Xenopus tropicalis: one gene and its partners. The protein of the gene in region 1 interacts with the protein of each later gene in a biochemical or structural test. Links are inferred from orthologs where the notes say so. Each region holds a gene or a part of one and is shown in the gene's direction. Other genes may lie near its edges. The genes, in order: prmt1, khdrbs1, habp4, fus and ubap2l.

Evidence for each region.
Region 2: of the proteins of prmt1 (region 1) and khdrbs1, one has a biochemical effect on the other in vitro, tested with the Homo sapiens proteins (2 studies listed by BioGRID). The link is inferred for Xenopus tropicalis from reciprocal best matches to the Homo sapiens genes PRMT1 and KHDRBS1.
Region 3: the proteins of prmt1 (region 1) and habp4 form a complex in vitro, tested with the Homo sapiens proteins (2 studies listed by BioGRID, with this or other methods). The link is inferred for Xenopus tropicalis from reciprocal best matches to the Homo sapiens genes PRMT1 and HABP4.
Region 4: of the proteins of prmt1 (region 1) and fus, one has a biochemical effect on the other in vitro, tested with the Homo sapiens proteins (3 studies listed by BioGRID). The link is inferred for Xenopus tropicalis from reciprocal best matches to the Homo sapiens genes PRMT1 and FUS.
Region 5: of the proteins of prmt1 (region 1) and ubap2l, one has a biochemical effect on the other in vitro, tested with the Homo sapiens proteins (2 studies listed by BioGRID, with this or other methods). The link is inferred for Xenopus tropicalis from reciprocal best matches to the Homo sapiens genes PRMT1 and UBAP2L.

What each region holds. Positions count from the first base shown.
Region 1 is NC_030683.2:111,009,008-111,011,932, forward strand, and holds part of prmt1 (protein arginine N-methyltransferase 1), read left to right. Parts: intron 1-817; coding exon 818-919; intron 920-996; coding exon 997-1,152; intron 1,153-1,800; coding exon 1,801-1,864; intron 1,865-1,944; coding exon 1,945-2,087; intron 2,088-2,368; coding exon 2,369-2,456; intron 2,457-2,925. UniProt on the Homo sapiens protein: Arginine methyltransferase that methylates (mono and asymmetric dimethylation) the guanidino nitrogens of arginyl residues present in proteins such as ESR1, histone H2, H3 and H4, FMR1, ILF3, HNRNPA1, HNRNPD, NFATC2IP, SUPT5H, TAF15, EWS, HABP4, SERBP1, RBM15, FOXO1, CHTOP, MAP3K5/ASK1, MICU1 and NPRL2.
Region 2 is NC_030678.2:86,528,298-86,531,237, forward strand, and holds the end of khdrbs1 (KH domain-containing, RNA-binding, signal transduction-associated protein 1), read left to right. Parts: intron 1-412; coding exon 413-480; intron 481-731; coding exon 732-790; intron 791-1,846; coding exon 1,847-1,947; 3' UTR 1,948-2,439; downstream 2,440-2,940. UniProt on the Homo sapiens protein: Recruited and tyrosine phosphorylated by several receptor systems, for example the T-cell, leptin and insulin receptors. Once phosphorylated, functions as an adapter protein in signal transduction cascades by binding to SH2 and SH3 domain-containing proteins.
Region 3 is NC_030677.2:136,242,906-136,246,425, forward strand, and holds part of habp4 (intracellular hyaluronan-binding protein 4), read left to right. Parts: intron 1-1,330; coding exon of another isoform or gene 1,331-1,402; intron 1,403-2,097; coding exon 2,098-2,175; intron 2,176-3,234; coding exon 3,235-3,397; intron 3,398-3,520. UniProt on the Homo sapiens protein: Ribosome-binding protein that promotes ribosome hibernation, a process during which ribosomes are stabilized in an inactive state and preserved from proteasomal degradation.
Region 4 is NC_030685.2:6,027,081-6,030,600, reverse strand, and holds part of fus (RNA-binding protein FUS), read left to right. Parts: intron 1-192; coding exon 193-227; intron 228-1,152; coding exon 1,153-1,191; intron 1,192-1,298; coding exon 1,299-1,405; intron 1,406-2,252; coding exon 2,253-2,382; intron 2,383-2,589; coding exon 2,590-2,694; intron 2,695-3,293; coding exon 3,294-3,417; intron 3,418-3,504; coding exon 3,505-3,520. UniProt on the Homo sapiens protein: DNA/RNA-binding protein that plays a role in various cellular processes such as transcription regulation, RNA splicing, RNA transport, DNA repair and damage response. Binds to ssRNA containing the consensus sequence 5'-AGGUAA-3'.
Region 5 is NC_030684.2:143,447,720-143,451,239, reverse strand, and holds part of ubap2l (ubiquitin-associated protein 2-like), read left to right. Parts: intron 1-937; coding exon 938-1,200; intron 1,201-1,765; coding exon 1,766-1,938; intron 1,939-2,190; coding exon 2,191-2,395; intron 2,396-2,603; coding exon 2,604-2,658; intron 2,659-3,256; coding exon 3,257-3,425; intron 3,426-3,520. UniProt on the Homo sapiens protein: Recruits the ubiquitination machinery to RNA polymerase II for polyubiquitination, removal and degradation, when the transcription-coupled nucleotide excision repair (TC-NER) machinery fails to resolve DNA damage.

The sequences.
Region 1 (2,925 bases):
CTGTTTTCTCAGGGACCAGTTTACCTGACTGTTTTGGGAGTGTGGGAGGTAATGGAATAAAGGAAACCTGTGCAAGCATGGAGAAAACATAACCTCAAATTTTTCTTTTGTAAGAAGTTTGCAAACTTCAGTACCTGGATTTCTGCATTACTCACATTATCTGGTTTTCAGCTATATATAGTTATTGATAAGTCTAATTACAGCACCCAGTTACAGTATTTACTGTTTCAAAGTAAACATCTGGCCGCTATGGGTTACTCTACCTGTACATATGTTGTGCCATTTATGAAAAATGAGGCGTAACTTGCTTAAACTAAACATAAATTGTTTATATAGTCTTTGGTTGTGCCATGGCATCTCTATTGGATTGAGATTTGGGCTCTTTGCCATTCCAGAACACAAGTTTTCTTCTGTTGCAAATTCAAAGCATATGTGTGATAAATGCAGACATTCAGGTAATGGTTGGTAATTTACAGTTGCAGGAATACTTTCACTATAGTTTGCTGGCTCTTTAAGACTGTACAGAAGGAAGGAGTATTATAAAATGGCTTCTACTGTGACAGTAGCTGTCAGCATTTTGGCCCACAGCTGGGAAACATGGCATTCTAGAAGTTATTTTTACCATCTGCATTCTGTCTCTAGGTTGTAGAATTAATCTAATCATGAGTGATGTGAATGCAATATGAAATTGAAACATCACAAGGCAGTAATGTGGTTCTTCAGGCACCCATATTGCTTATGTTAGGTGTCTTGTTCCTTGGAGGTCTTGCCTGTATATGGGTGTCTAAGACTTATGCATGCATTTTCTTATTTGAAGGTTTCTTGTACTCAGCCTGAGAGCAGTGTGAAGCCAAATGCGGAGGACATGACATCAAAAGATTACTACTTTGACTCGTATGCTCACTTTGGCATCCATGAGGTAAGTTAACCCCTGCGTAGACTAATATTTTAAAGATAACTGTCCATGAGTTTTTCTGATCCATTTTCTTTCTGCAGGAGATGTTAAAAGATGAAGTTCGAACGCTGACATATCGTAACTCAATGTTTCACAACAGACATCTATTTAAAGATAAAGTAGTCTTGGATGTTGGGAGTGGCACGGGTATTCTCTGCATGTTTGCAGCAAAGGCTGGTGCCAAGAAAGTTATTGGGGTAAGATAAAAACCTCTACCCCATGGGGTTGCGATTTAGAAACGCTGAGTTTTTTTTTTAGGCATGTTCCCTGATGCATCCAGCTCTACTAGCTAGTAGGTGGTATAGAAGTTTGTCCTCTTACATTCCCCTGACTGGTGCTTGGTAGTGTGCACCATATATCTGAATATTTCTTATCATAGTCCCTTTCCTGCAGGTGCTGTGATGCAGTATTTTTAATATAGCGTATATTAGACACTGACACAAGAATTTAAACCCTTCTTTAAAACAGGACATTCTTTGCATGCATTAATAATTTTGCCATAGAAGTGTTTGCCCAGTGCTTTTACATTACACAGCCAATCCCCATTTTCCATTGAGGGGGCTGCCATTTATGCAGCAGTAGGAGTCAGTTGGCATTAGAAGCTATAACTGACAGGTTGAGAAGGGACAGTCAGGTTGGCAAAACACATTTAGGAACATCAAGTACTTAAAAATGATCAGCATTGCCTGTAACTTATGTACATTAATTGAGGAGTAATTTTGTCTGTATCCATTTAAGTTTAGGGGGGGAGGAATGTTGAGGCAGAGAGGGGGTAAGTGGGTTGGATACATACAATTGTATTTGTTTAAATCTTCTCAACTAACACTACATTCTTTTTCACTTAGATTGAGTGCTCAAGTATATCTGACTATGCCATAAAAATCGTGAAGGCAAATAAACTAGATCATGGTAGGTAACAACACGGTTGTCTTAAGTGCATTACTGTTTCCATCTAGACTGCATTCTAACCACTTATTATTCTCCTTTAGTGGTTACAATCATCAAAGGCAAAGTAGAAGAGGTGGAGCTCCCAGTAGAAAAAGTGGACATCATAATCAGTGAATGGATGGGATATTGTCTGTTCTATGAATCAATGCTGAACACTGTTATCTATGCACGGGATAAATGGCTGGTAAGTTCGCAAGAAGTGTCAAGAACGAGTATCTTGTATTTAAAAATGTAAACAGTTTGTTGGATTTGATTGTGCCAATGGTGCTAAGGCTCTCTGCATTGTTGTACCTAATACAACAATGCTAATGACATTACATCAGCTATTACTGGGTTTACACCAGTGATAGCTGGATGTAATGTAACCTTGTATATACACTTGCTAAGGAAATGTATACTTTAGTTGAAATGCCAGAAGTTTTTTTTTTAATGCCATGTGCTTCTATGTACTTGCATATCTTTCAGACTCCAGATGGGTTAATATTTCCAGATCGTGCTACACTGTATGTAACTGCTATTGAGGATAGACAATACAAAGACTACAAAATTCACTGTAAGTCTTATTTGCTGCTTTGGTGCCAGTTTTGAGTTAAAGCAAATCCATGCATGTGAAAGCCCAGTGGCATCTCTTCCTATATGTGTGTTTAATATACCAGATTTCAGTGTGACTGGTGTAAGTGCCGATGTGTTGCATGGTACAAATTTCCATCATTCCCAGCTATAATAAGTATTGGCACTGTTATGGAGATGAATGGAAATGCAGCTGGGCAGACTTAGATTATGTATTCCTTAAATATATAACTGCACTGGTCAAAGTTCTGCCTAACCACTTCATTTCTATGGTTAAAGCCCATTTTTATATTTAGACTTTTTTAGTCAGTTCAAAGTTAGTTCTTGCTATGCATTAATGTATGGCCTTCTACTGTGCCCCCAAAACTTTGTAACTTGTTTAAAACCAGTCCAGAACTGCTTTGAAAAGGGGTTTAACTGCCTCAACACAATTTGTCATGTACTTTGCTTCC
Region 2 (2,940 bases), on another chromosome or scaffold:
GAATACTGGAATGTTAAACAATACTCCTAATAACTTTACAAATGTTAACCTCCTAGGTCACTGCTGTCCTACTTCTGTGGTACCAAAGGCTGGAATTTTTCTGGGCTAAATTGTAGAGGACTGATAATGGAAGCCAGTTTTGACCACTCTCCTTTTTTTTAAACCGCACCACTTCAAACCATGTTATAACAAACTTTTAAGACCATACCCATATTAATGTGGTAGCACAGCAAAAACCCAAATGGTTGGTGCTCACTGTAGGGATATCGCCCACAGAGGGGATCTGTGGGCTGCCAGTTGGACAGTACTGTCCTAGGTTGTGCTGGTCACCTGTAGTATAGTAGGCATTGTATTAGACTTAGTTCTCTATTAATTCCCTTGCTTTAAAGGCTAATTGTAAACATTTTTTAAGGGTTATGAAGACTCCTATGCAGAGCCAAGCTATGAAGGTTATGAGGGATATTACAGTCAAAGCCAAGGGTAAGTTTCATTTTACCTCAGTTAGTGTTCTTTTGGTCCCAAATATGATTTTATTGCTATTAAAGCATTATAATATTTGGAAATCATAGCATCTGTGCAAAGTCTAGATATGCAGCTTAGTGTATTTAGTAAAAATTATAAAATTCTGCTATGCGCTTTGGGTCCTACGGGAGAAAAGTGCTTTACAAATGGTTGTTGTTGTTGTTGTTGTTGTACTAAAATTGTACATTTTCTTTATCTAAAATTTTCAGAGAGACTGAATATTATGATTATGGTCATGGAGAGGGTCCTGAATCGTATGAGAGTTATGGTAAGTATCCAGGAGTGGATAGATAAGGTCCCCTATCTAATTAGACTGATAAATAAGATGACATAAGCTCATTCAGTTATGCTTAAAGGAATACTGTCATGGGAAAACCTGTGTTTTTCAAAACACATCAGTTCATAGAGCTTCTCCAGCAGAATCCTACATTGAAATCTGTATTTCAAAAACAGATTTTTTTATATTTAATTTTGAAACTTCACATGGGGCTAGCCATAGTCTTAATTTCCCAGGGTGTTACAGCCATGTGACCCGTGCCCAGTTAAAAGGTAGGCCGCCAGGCCACAAATATATAAACGATATAGCATATGCAAACTAGACAAATGTTTATAATCAATCTTTGTTCCATTTGACAAATGCATACGTTTAATGTAAATACAATTATATGTTTACCAAATATGATAAAAACAATAAACATCAAGTTTAAAAAAAATAAATAAATGTAATTTGCTTGATGTGTAGTACCTCTAGAACATGAAGAATTTAGTATTTGACCATTGTATGGCTGTATCTGTCTTCATTCTCTTTAAAATATGCTATTATGTTTCCTACTTATGGTAAAAGGGATATTTTGTCTTTAAATTTTTTTTTTCTTATGCTCCCCCATGTAGAAAACAATGAACAACTGCAAAGTTCTTTATATTACATTTTAAAGAAAAACCTAGATAATTTGTGTAAACTTGCTTGACAGCTTTTTGATCCTTTTAAAAGAATCTCTTCTCTTTACTGGGCACTTGTAAGAGGGGTTTAACATCTGTAACATCTGCCCTTTTAGAGTGAAATGACATAAAGGCTGTTTATGCCACAATAATTGACTGACAGAGCTCCTGCAGTGTTAATGGAATTTTATGTTTGCAGTTGGAATTATGTTCAACTGGTAATGTTTTTTTTTGGGGGGGGGGGGGGGGGGCTTGGGTGGGAGTGACTGCCATTATTAATAACTTATAGGAATATTACTTTTTACTGTTGTGCTTCGCACTTTTTTTTTTTTTTTTTTTTTACTATTGTAGTTTTTAATTGTGTGTATATGTATTTGTTTTTAAGGACAAGATAATTGGAATGGATCACGACCTTCACTTAAGGTTCCCTCTTCACGTCCTTTGAAGGGCGGTGCATACAGAGAACATCCTTATGGGCGCTTTTGAACATCTTTTCATCCAAACCATGTTTACCGATGTCTTGTGTTCGGGACTTCCTGTTCCTTAACCCACAATACACAAGTAAATTCTCTGTGCTCTGTGACCTCCCTCATATAGCTCCCTTTTCCCAAATTCCTTTGAAAGGACAATTTTAAAAAAAAAAATGGAGCAACTCTGAAATAGGCAGACTTTTTTTTAATATTTAGATCGTTTTACTTTGCGTTGTTAAAGAAACAAAAACTTTAAAAAATACAAAATGCTTTACATGTAAAATTTAGCTGCATTAAAGGGTAGTTTTTCAAAGTGACTTCAAAACAAGTTTCTTTAAATAAACAAAAGTAACTATAGCTTTAGGTTCTTTGTCCTGAACTAAGCTGCATTTCAAAATCCCATTACTTTGAGTAGTTAAAATTGTAGCTGTAATATTGTATGCTGTTTAAAACAAAAACTTTTGACTTTGTACTTAAAATCCACTTTATGTTATTAAACCTTATGGACAAAACTTGGTTAATGTTGTCTTAATTCACTTATGCACAAATAGGGAGGTAAGATAAACATTAAAATCAAAGTATAAACATTTAGCTGCAGAAACTGTATATTAAATAATAGGCTGTGTCCGAGTAAAGGGATGCTATCATCACATTCCCCTGCAGTTACATTTTGAAGCAAGGGTTTCATATAAGGCATTTAAAATAACCTTTTCAATATCCCTTTATATAGTTTTTACATTCCACTGTTGTGTTCAGGCCTCCCTGTGTTTTGATTTTATGGATGGTGATGTTTGTCATAAAGACTGTTAAAACTTCTCAAGAAAAGAGAACTTTTTGTGGCTGCAAGGAATTGGTTAGTCACAAATTACAGTAAACTCTGGAAGCAGAAAAAGTAATTTTCTAAATTAAAGAGAATGTTTTCTTTCTTTTTTCAAACTAAGTCTGCTCAACATTATGGGTTTTCAGCCACATTCAACTTTTTTAGTTTTGATGATAGTGTCCCTTTAAC
Region 3 (3,520 bases), on another chromosome or scaffold:
CAATGCTAGATTGTAAGCTCTTTTGGGCAGGGCCCTCTTCACCTCTTGTATCGGTTACTGATTGCTTTATATGTTACTCTGTATGTCCAATGTATGTAACCCACATATTGTACAGCGCTGCGGAATATGTTGCCGCTTTATAAATAAATGTTAATGTAATGTAATCTGGTGAGTGTGCATTTTTACCACATTTGGTGGAGGCACACGCTTTGCTCACTTGATTGTTTTGTCATTTTGCACACTGGTTGTGTATTGTACGAATTAACACTATTTTACTTTTTTTTTTTTTTCTAATGCGCTTCCATCATTCTCCTGGAACACATTTTGAGGCCTACTCAAAGGGGGCTTTTTTGAGGAAGCAGCAATCAAGATTCACACACACACAAGAAGGTTTTTTTTTTTACACTTTAACGCCGAGTTTTTGATTTGTTTTTTGCTATTTGATCTTTATGTAAATGCTTTTGTAATTCCCTGTGGACAGTTATAACAGTTGCTTGTCTTAACATGTGCCTAGCAGTTTCTATATTACGTTGAAACCAGCAACTGCAGAGATTATTTCTTGGATAACTGTTGGTCTATTTACATTACACTTCAAATGGGATTCTTGTTTTTCTAGACTAATTGTGCCTTCATAAATACTCAGTGGGAGAGGATACTTGTTCCTAACACATTTGTAAATCTCCCAATATATACTATAGCGTTGCACACTTTGCCAAACAACCCACTCTCTGTGCTTATTTTTAAGTAATATCAATATGTTCGTATAAAAATAGTTAGGAACACGTCAGTATTAGTAGGAACTCTGTACATGGACTTCACGTATAAGATTACAAAACTGCTGGTACCATTGGGCTAGGGGATAGAGTTGGAACCAGCACCACTACTACATCCTTTAGACACAGCTTTAGGTGCCTGGGAGTGGAAAACCTGTTGTCAGTCACGCCAGGCTAGGGACAGGAGGATTGCTCTGTATCTAGCCCAGTGTGACTAACACAATGGCACCTAAAGCTTTGTCTGCTGCATTAAGTACTACTTGCCTGGGGACACTTTTTTCTACACGAATCCATGCACGAACATTTTTTATTTGAAGAAACTCTTGCAGATGAATTGTAATGATTCGAGAATATTAATGACAGGATAGATGCAATGTTCCAGCAACAGGAAGCTTTACATTGAATTTTATTGCAGGAGAGTTCATGTCTCGCTTGTTTGTCATATTTAGTGTGAGTTTTTGCGTTTTAATTACTGAAGAAAATGGGGGGAAAACTCTCCTATGCATCTGTCCCTCTTAATGTTCTCTGTTCATTCAAAACCAACAAATTATCTCTAGTAGAATAAGACCAGAAGACAAGAGGGGTGGAGGTGGACCTCGCAACTGGGGCTCTATAAAAGAAGCTTTCAGGTATGACCCAGGTATCCTTAAGACTAATGCATTATTAAAATACAGATGTGACAAAAGATGGAGTAGGTGGTCCATGTTACCTAGATACCAGGGAAATAAAAGTTTAACAACCAGATAATTGGAGTTTTCTAGTTGATCAAAACCCACATGTCTAAACAAACTCCACTGATCTAAACAAACTATATGATATAGTACAATAAGTGCTTGACAGAACTGATATGGGTAAGGAAGCCGTGATATATTCTAGAAATTGCAGATGTAAAAGGAACTTGAGGTGGCCATATCTGTTAAGATCTGCTTGTTTGGCAGGGCACAAAACAAGAGGATCTTTACTCCTGATATGCCCACCTAAGGTGGGCTATATGGGGCTTTTTCAACTGTTTGGCCCTAGGGCCAACAAATTACAATGATGGGTATAAGCCTTCAGACCGAGATTCCTACTTTAATTGATAAAGGTGTGTAGCATTAATTTTTAAAAGGCTAGATATGATCAGCATTTTAAAGGATATTTTGGTTTTTGCATTTTGTTGCAGTAGGTGAACTCAAACTCTTACCCATCCAATGTAGTCTGAATACATGTGACTGTTGTAATATTGCTATTTTTTGGGTATAGATATTTTGCATTCAACAATTAGTTAGTCTGGCTGTTTAACAGATCGCTAGCTAAAGAAACAAATACACTTGTATTTTTTAAGTGAGATTGAGGCGGTTCCAGTAGAAGAGCAAGTTGAGCCTACTGAAACAACAGAAGCAACAGAGGAAGAACATGGCAAGTAAGTTTTGTTACACAAAGAACATCTTGCATTCACTTCCTGAACTACTTTTCCTAATCTGATTCCAGGAAATAAATAGCATGGGAACAATAGATTGGTAGGAGCTGAAGAGCCATATATGACTAAGGCAACGGCACATGTGGCTTATGGCTAACTGGACAACTTGTGCTTATGGCACAAATTAAATGTTTTGGCCAATAGTTGTTTGTTTTTTTTTTTTTTTTTTTTCTTTCCAAACAATTCCTTTTAACTGTAAAGGGAAGCAGTCGGATATTGTAAAAAAAAAAAAAAAACCTTAACGACAAAAAGAATTCGGGGAGATTACTTGCCCACCATAAATCTTCGTTACCACAGGCGACTAATCTCCCCGCAATGTCATCCCACTGGCACCGGATATCACTGGTGGGATGGCATATGCCTTGCTTTGGTTTCCCAAAGTTGCCTCACAAGGAAACTTGGGAAAACCTGAAGCGATGCATATGCCATCCCACAGGTGATTTACATTCTTCCGATGCTGCCGGTGGGATGACATTGTGGGGAGATTAGTCGCCTGTGGTAATGAAGATTTATGGTGGGCGACTAATCTCCCCGTGTGCCTCTGCCCTTAGAGCATATATGTCAAACACAAGGCCGGGGGCCAAATCCAGCCCACCTGGCTGTTTTATGTGGCCTTTGGTGAGTGTGTCTGACAATCCAGCCTGATCAATTTCCATTTTCCTCACATTGTAACTAAGACTAAGGGGTATATTTATCATGCTGTTTAAAAAGTGGAGTGAAGCATTACCAGTAATGTTGCCCAAGGCGTCCAATCAGTAATCTGATTTCAACAGTAGCAAAGCATCTATTGGCTGCTATGAGCAACATCACCGGTAATGTCTTACTCCACTTTTTACAGATTGTGATAAATATACCCCTTAGTACCTTACTAAGTATATTAATGAAAAATTTGGCCCGCGACTTAGCCTGTGTTTTTAGATTTTGCCCCCTTATGTGATTTAAGTTTGACAACCCTGCCTTAGAGTATGGAGAATTATTAAACATGAGTGTCTGTCTTTGTAGAGTTCCTGAAGAAATAAATGAAGGATTTTCTCAAGAAATGTCCCTTGATGAATGGAAGTCTCTCCAGGATCAGAACAGGGCTAAGACGGAATTTAACTTGCGTAAACCAGAAACCTCTGTGCCTTCCAAAGCTGTGGTAATCCATAAATCTAAATATAAAAATGTAAGTATTTGATTTTTTTTTTTCCCCTCCGTGATGAGCACACAGCACAATAATCATAATCTATACACTGAGGGCCTGTGCCCATGTGGTAAGCACAGATGTTGCACTTCAAGCAGTAATTGT
Region 4 (3,520 bases), on another chromosome or scaffold:
AAAATGGCATAGAATCAAAGAAGGCGTCATGTAGCACAAACGCTTTAGCAGTGGAACTTACGTAAAGAAGCAAGTGTGTTAGTTGTGCAGAGTGCTGGCACGCCTAGACACGGTGTGTTGCTGAATCAGAAAACTACTGTAGCCTCGGGAAACACAAACAAAAACTTCAATTTCTCCTAATTGTCTTCTCAGCGGTGGTGAACGGGGAGGATTCAGTAAATTTGGTGGTAAGTGAAGAGTTCAAAATCTCAAACCCAACTCCTGTACTGTTTTCCATTTAAAGTCATTCATATAGCACTGGGTGTATAACTGGAATACTCCATTGTGAAGTAGTGGGCTTCTAAAACATTCCGGTGTATGTAACTTTTTGCGTCAGTGCAATTAAACGGTTACATCAGACATCAGAAAAAAAGCAAATGTTACGGTGTGTGCACTGAGACCAATGCAGAGAATGCATTTAATAAGGGCACAGATGTGGTATATGCATGCAAACTGGGACTTTACAAACAATGTTACGGTTGGGTTCTTGGTAAATATATTTTTATACTTGGTAAATAGATATTATACTATAAGTCGATGAGGTGTAACCATGTAGGAGACTTACGGTGTGACTTTAAAAAAAAAAATAATCAAAAGGTTATGGTGCAGAGGTGCCTTGTACATATAATGGTGTATGTGATACCTTCACTGGCTAGCATGCAGGGAATGTAACCGTTTATATTCTGCAATGAAGTGTGTGCAAATCTTTACATCGTGCAAACTGACCGGGAAAAAGTCACCAATGCAACAAAGGGAATTGTGCAAGCAGGGGAGGTAACGGAACTAGGAATGAGCATTCACAATACACATTATTATGGTATCATTAATATGCTTGCAGTGGTTCACTTCTATTGCTTGTGTGGTGTTAGGCTACAAGGTTTACACAATACCGCTCTGCCTACATATAACATGGGCTTTCTGTTACCCTCGAATGTGTTCTAAGACCATAATTCTCGGCGTCATTCAGATTTGGGATTTTAACGTCTTAATGTTTAACCGACTGGTTCATATGGGTGTTTTGTGAATGTTTGGGTGTGGGCTTTAGGTTTTGCTGGACTTCCCACAATGGAAAATCACTTTTCTAAAATGGCTTTTGTCTCTGCTTTTCTCAAGGACCACGTGAAGGCGGCGGACCCCCCAGACATGAAATGGGTCAGTATCTGATAATTGTTTTTTTTTTTTTTTTAGTGTTTTGGAAAGTGTTTGTGACAACAGTGCAACTTTGAATTTTAATTAACAAATGTATTATTTCTTTAAAGCCGAACAAGACAACTCTGACAACAACACAATCTTCGTGCAAGGACTTGGAGAGAATGTTACAGTTGAGTCAGTTGCTGACTACTTCAAACAAATTGGAATCATTAAGGTAAGGGTGACCTTGACACTTTAACATACATTTTGCAAGTTATTTAGAAGTGACTTTATTTCTGTCAACTATTAATGCTGTGGGTTTCGAATCCCATGTGGTGTTAACCAACAACTGGGTCAGGTTTATTGTGAAAGGCAATGGGTATTGTGTCTGAGCTCAATCAAATGGGTAACTGCAAACCTACCAGCAGAGGTCACAATGGGGCCTTTCACATAGATATTGTCATCAGTTTTATGTGGTTTGAGTAAATGATATACATTAGTGTGTTTCTGCTACCAATAGAACTGGTGGAAGGTCAGCTCCCTCATGTATAGCAGTATTGTGCATGTATGGGCAAACTTGTGACAATAGTATGTTAAGGGGTTTTATGATACATGGGGCTGTAGCACAACTGATGGCTTTTACAAGTTTTTGGTGGGTTTGAGTAAATGTATGATCAATTGTAAAGCTTGATAACTATAGGTTTATTTATGTGCAACAAACAATGCGAACATTCACTAAGCCAATTTTACGACCTTAGAGCAGGAATCTCCAGCCTTTACTTGAGGGCCACACAAGCATGAATAAAGTTCTTTGGGGTACCAAATAAGGACTCTGATTGGCTATTTGGTAACCTCATGTGAACTGTAGTCTCTGCTTGGGGTAAAACGGTCTCTGGGCTTCCAAAACTTGCCTCCAAGCCAGAAATGTCAAAATGGCACCTGCTTCCCCCATCAAAGGGGCAGGTAGCAACATGTAGCTCTCCTGCCACTGGTTGGGGATCACTGCCTTAGAGGTTAGACTGTTTGCATCTGTCCAGTATTGCTGAAACATTTTAGTTACATTATAAATTTTCTCTCACTAGACTAACAAGAAGACTGGGCAGCCTATGATTAACCTTTACACAGACCGTGAAACTGGCAAACTGAAAGGAGAAGCCACAGTTTCCTTTGATGACCCACCATCTGCCAAGGCTGCTATCGATTGGTTTGATGGTGAGTTTTCTTTTTTTTTCTTCCAAAAATATCTAAATTCTGACTTACTTTTAAATGTAAACCCATGGCTGCTCAGCTTGACATAGGTTTGTGTATGTTAAGTTATTCGGTGAACCAGGCAAGCAGAACGAAGTGCCTGATATGAGCATGTTATAAAGGTTATGGGAATTATATAGATAATGAATGAAATATTCCATTTATCTGTAGGCAAAGAGTTCTCCGGCAATCCGATAAAAGTGTCTTTTGCCACAAGAAGAGCAGATTTTAATAGTCGAGGTGGCGGCAATGGAAGAGGCAGAGGACGTGGTGGCGGTGAGTTTTTAATTGCCTTTTATTTACAACTCTGAGCATTTAGTTTAAAATCTGTTTTCTTCAATTATCCAGTCGGCATTTGCAGAGAAATACTGGATTTTGTTGCACGTATTATACCAGGGGTGGGCAAACTTTTTGGCTCAGGCCACGTTGACTTACCGCCGAGTAGGGCCAGGGTAACGCTGTTTCCGCTTGTCAGTCCCCAGACACCCAAGTCTTACGTGATGAGAGTTGCGGAGTCAGCGGCCGGATTAAACGGACCAAGGGGCCAGACGTGGCCTGCAGGCTGTAGTTTGCCCACCCCTTTATTATACTCTGCTCTCAACTAGAATAAAATGTGTAATCTCTTGAGATTCAGCCAGTAATCAGTAATAAAATGTCAATGAATTGACACAGCTTGTGTGTAAAAAAGGGATAACTGAATACTGCAGGTATTTTATAAAGTGTTACATACATGATGATTCAGTCATATGTTCCAACTCTGTATGACTGACTCCACCTATTGGCAGGTATTTGTAACTGCAGCAGCTCTGACAGTAATATTCAGATTTTAGCATTTTGTCTCAATGGAGTTTTCTTTTGTTTTAACCTGCAAATAGGACCAATGGGACGTGGAGGCTTTGGTGGGCCCCCTGGAGGAAGTGGCAGTCGGGGTGGTAGTGGTGGATACCCAAGTGGTGGTGGAGGCCAGCAACGAGCTGGAGACTGGAAGTGCCCCAACCCGTAAGTTTAGTTATATCAGTATAATTTTTTTTTTATTTATTGCATTGTGTGTATGTACCTGTGGCTAAATTGTTCGTCTCTTCGCAGGAGTTGTGAGAATATG
Region 5 (3,520 bases), on another chromosome or scaffold:
CTATCCCACAGCCCCAGTCCCTTCCCAGAGGCTATTATCCCCCCCCTGCTACTATAGGCACCATCTCTCCCTACTATACCTGCTATCCCACAGCCCCAGTCCTTCCAGAGGCTATTATCCCCCCACTGCTACTATAGGCACCATCTCTCCCTACTATACCTGCTATCCCACAGCCCCAGTCCCTTCCCAGAGGCTATTATCCCCCCACTGCTACTATAGGCACCATCTCTCCCTACTATACCTGCTATCCCACAGCCCCAGTCCCTTCCCAGAGGTTATTATCCCCCCACTTGCTACTATAGGCACCATCTCTCCCTACTATACCTGCTATCCCACAGCCCCAGTCCCTTCCCAGAGGCTATTATCCCCCCACTGCTACTATAGGCACCATCTCTCCCTACTATACCTGCTATCCCACAGCCCCAGTCCCTTCCCAGAGGCTATTATCCCCCCACTGCTACTATAGGCACCATCTCTCCCTACTATACCTGCTATCCCACAGCACCAGTCCCTTCCCAGAGGCTATTATCCCCCCACTGCTACTATAGGCACCATCTCTCCCTACTATACCTGCTATCCCACAGCCCCAGTCCCTTCCCAGAGGCTATTATCCCCCCACTGCTACTATAGGCACCATCTCTCCCTACTATACCTGCTATCCCACAGCCCCAGTCCCTTCCCAGAGGCTATTATCCCACTGCTGCATGCCAGTAGACCCTTTTTGGTTGTTTCAGTAGCCATAAAGGGGGGACAGTGCATGCAAGAGTAATGTAGTTCCCAGCATGGAGTGATTCTCGGTTCATATGGCCAGATTCTCCTGCAGCGAGCCAACATTTCCACATCCATTGCTGTTGTTGGGGCTCTAACATATTATGATTAATAGTTCCATCCCCAGAACAAGGGTGTATTATAGTGTATGTTTTGTGTGTGGCTTCAGATATGAAGAGTCCATCTGACCCGTTCAGCAAGCGTCAAAGCTTTCCCCAGGCCTCCACCATGATGGAAGTGTATCTGCAGGAGAAGACGCCTGTGGTCAGCACTTCGTCTGCTGTGCCAGTGTGTCCATCTTCCCCTCTCCATGGCAAGAGCAACACTGCCCCCCAGATGTCCCCGGTGTCCTCAGAGAACCAGTCTAGTAGCCCTCAGCCGGCTCAGCAGAAGATGAAGCAGCAGAAAAAGAAAGCCTCTCTAACATCCAAGGTATTCAAGCAGCTCAGGCTTATGGCTTAGTCTGGGGCCCCGGGCTTAGTCTGGGGCCCCGGGCTTAGTCTGGGGCCCCGGGCTTAGTCTGGGGCCCCGGGCTTAGTCTGGGGCCCCGGGCTTAGTCTGGGGCCCCGGGCTTAGTCTGGGGCCCCGGGCTTAGTCTGGGGCCCCGGGCTTAGTCTGGGGCCCCGGGCTTAGTCTGGGGCCCCGGGCTTAGTCTGGGGCCCCGGGCTTAGTCTCGGGCCCCGGGCTTAGTCTCGGGCCCCGGGCTTAGTCTCGGGCCCCGGGCTTAGTCTCGGGCCCCGGGCTTAGTCTCGGGCCCCGGGCTTAGTCTCGGGCCCCGGGCTTAGTCTCGGGCCCCGGGCTTAGTCTCGGGCCCCGGGCTTAGTCTCGGGCCCCGGGCTTAGTCTCGGGCCCCGGGCTTAGTCTCGGGCCCCGGGCTTAGTCTCGGGCCCCGGGCTTAGTCTCGGGCCCCGGGCTTAGTCTCGGGCCCCGGGCTTAGTCTCGGGCCCCGGGCTTAGTCTCGGGCCCCGGGCTTAGTCTCTGGTTTCAATGCTTACAGATACCTGCTCTGGCAGTGGAAATGCCCGGCTCTTCTGACATCTCTGGGCTAAACCTGCAATTCGGGGCCTTGCTGTTTGGATCTGAGCCTGTCCTCCCTGAGTACGAGTCTTCACCCACCACCAACGTGGCTGTGAGCCAGTCCCAAAACAGCCTCTATACCAGCCCCGTAAGGTAAGTTGGCCGCTCCATTTCTATTTAGTCACTATTAAGGATGGGAAGGGGGGGGGGCCCCAATGGATTCCATGACAGTAGACCCTTTCTGGCTGTATCAGTAGTCACTAAGGGGGGACAGTTTCATGGCACAGGAATGAGGTGCTGACAGGGGACCCATCAGAAATACCTGGTGGTTCATCTTGAATCTGCACCCACATAGCCCCAACTGCTCTATAGGTACAGCCATTAACTCTTCCCCTCCCTTCACAGTGAATCGCCCAACACCATCGCAGCCAATCAGAGCCCAGAGTCTGCCTATCAGGGCAGCAGCAGCATACAGTCAGCAACGTTTACACCTCAGAGCAGCACCCAAGGCCCAGTGTACGAACAGAGGGCCACACAGACCCGGCGGTACCCCAACCCCATCTCCTCCTCTTCCTCATCCTCCCCACAGAAAGACCTCAGCCAATCCAAGGTGAGTAGTGTGGCTTGTCGATTTTTAGGGGCTCAGTATCCAGAGGTGGTCTTTCCCTTTATTTCTGTTAATGTGGCATACACTGGGTGGTCCGGCCGGTATCTGTAGGCTTTTAGGGTCTGATTGTGCCTGCTCCCAGCTGTTGTAGTTGTTCAGGATATCGGTACCCCCACTCACTGTTCTATCTCCCCCCATTGTGTCTCTGCAGAATGGCTTCAGTTCAGTGCAGGCTCCGACGTTGCAAGCCCCGGTGTCAGTCGAGGGTAAGTAGAATGTCCTATTCCTAGCAACTTTGAAAATGTTTATTTTAAGTTTTTGCCTTTTTCTACGTCCTTCCAGCTTTCAAATGGGGGTCACCGACCCCGGCAGCCAAAAACTATTGCTGTGTGAGCGTAAAAAGATATTATTGTTACTTTCTATTTATTATCTTTATATTCAGTCTCTCGATCAATCTACTGCCTGGTTGCTAAGGTAAACAAGACCCTAGCAACCAGATAGCTGGTGAAATGTCAAACTAGAGAGCTTGCTGAACTGAAAAAGAACAATGCAAACCAATTACATTATACTAAAAGATAGTGTTGCTGTTGTGCTTATACAGTGCAACTGGTCACACAGTTATATAGTGTGTTGGTGGCAGTGCACGCTAGTAGACCCTTTCTGACTTTCCGTAGCCATAAAGGGGGGACAACGCGTGCTAAACAAATATGGCCCCTGGCTAAGTAATCTGTCAGCGCCTTTGGCGGAGGATTTTGCTGGGTGCCGACAGCTTTCCTGCATTGGGAATCTGTATTTACAGCACATTTAGGCTCCTTGCTTTCAGGCAGAGCGACTTCATGCTTCTCATTTCATCATCTCTTCCAGTTCCCTCTGTGCCCAGTGTGAAGGCAGATTCACCCTCTGCTCCCACCATTGTTCCCCTCAGCGACCCGGTGTCTACATCGTCCCTGCTCACCGGCGCCGGAGCCCATTCCTCACAGCTCAGTAGCCTCGCTCACTCTGAGGATCTGCAAAGTGCCCCCACGCCTCTCAGGTATGTGGCACTGCCATACTCTGGGGGGGGGGGGGGGTCACGCGTCCCAGCATTCTTAGCTATCTGTTTGCTGTGGCTGCTGGGAGTTTCTATGT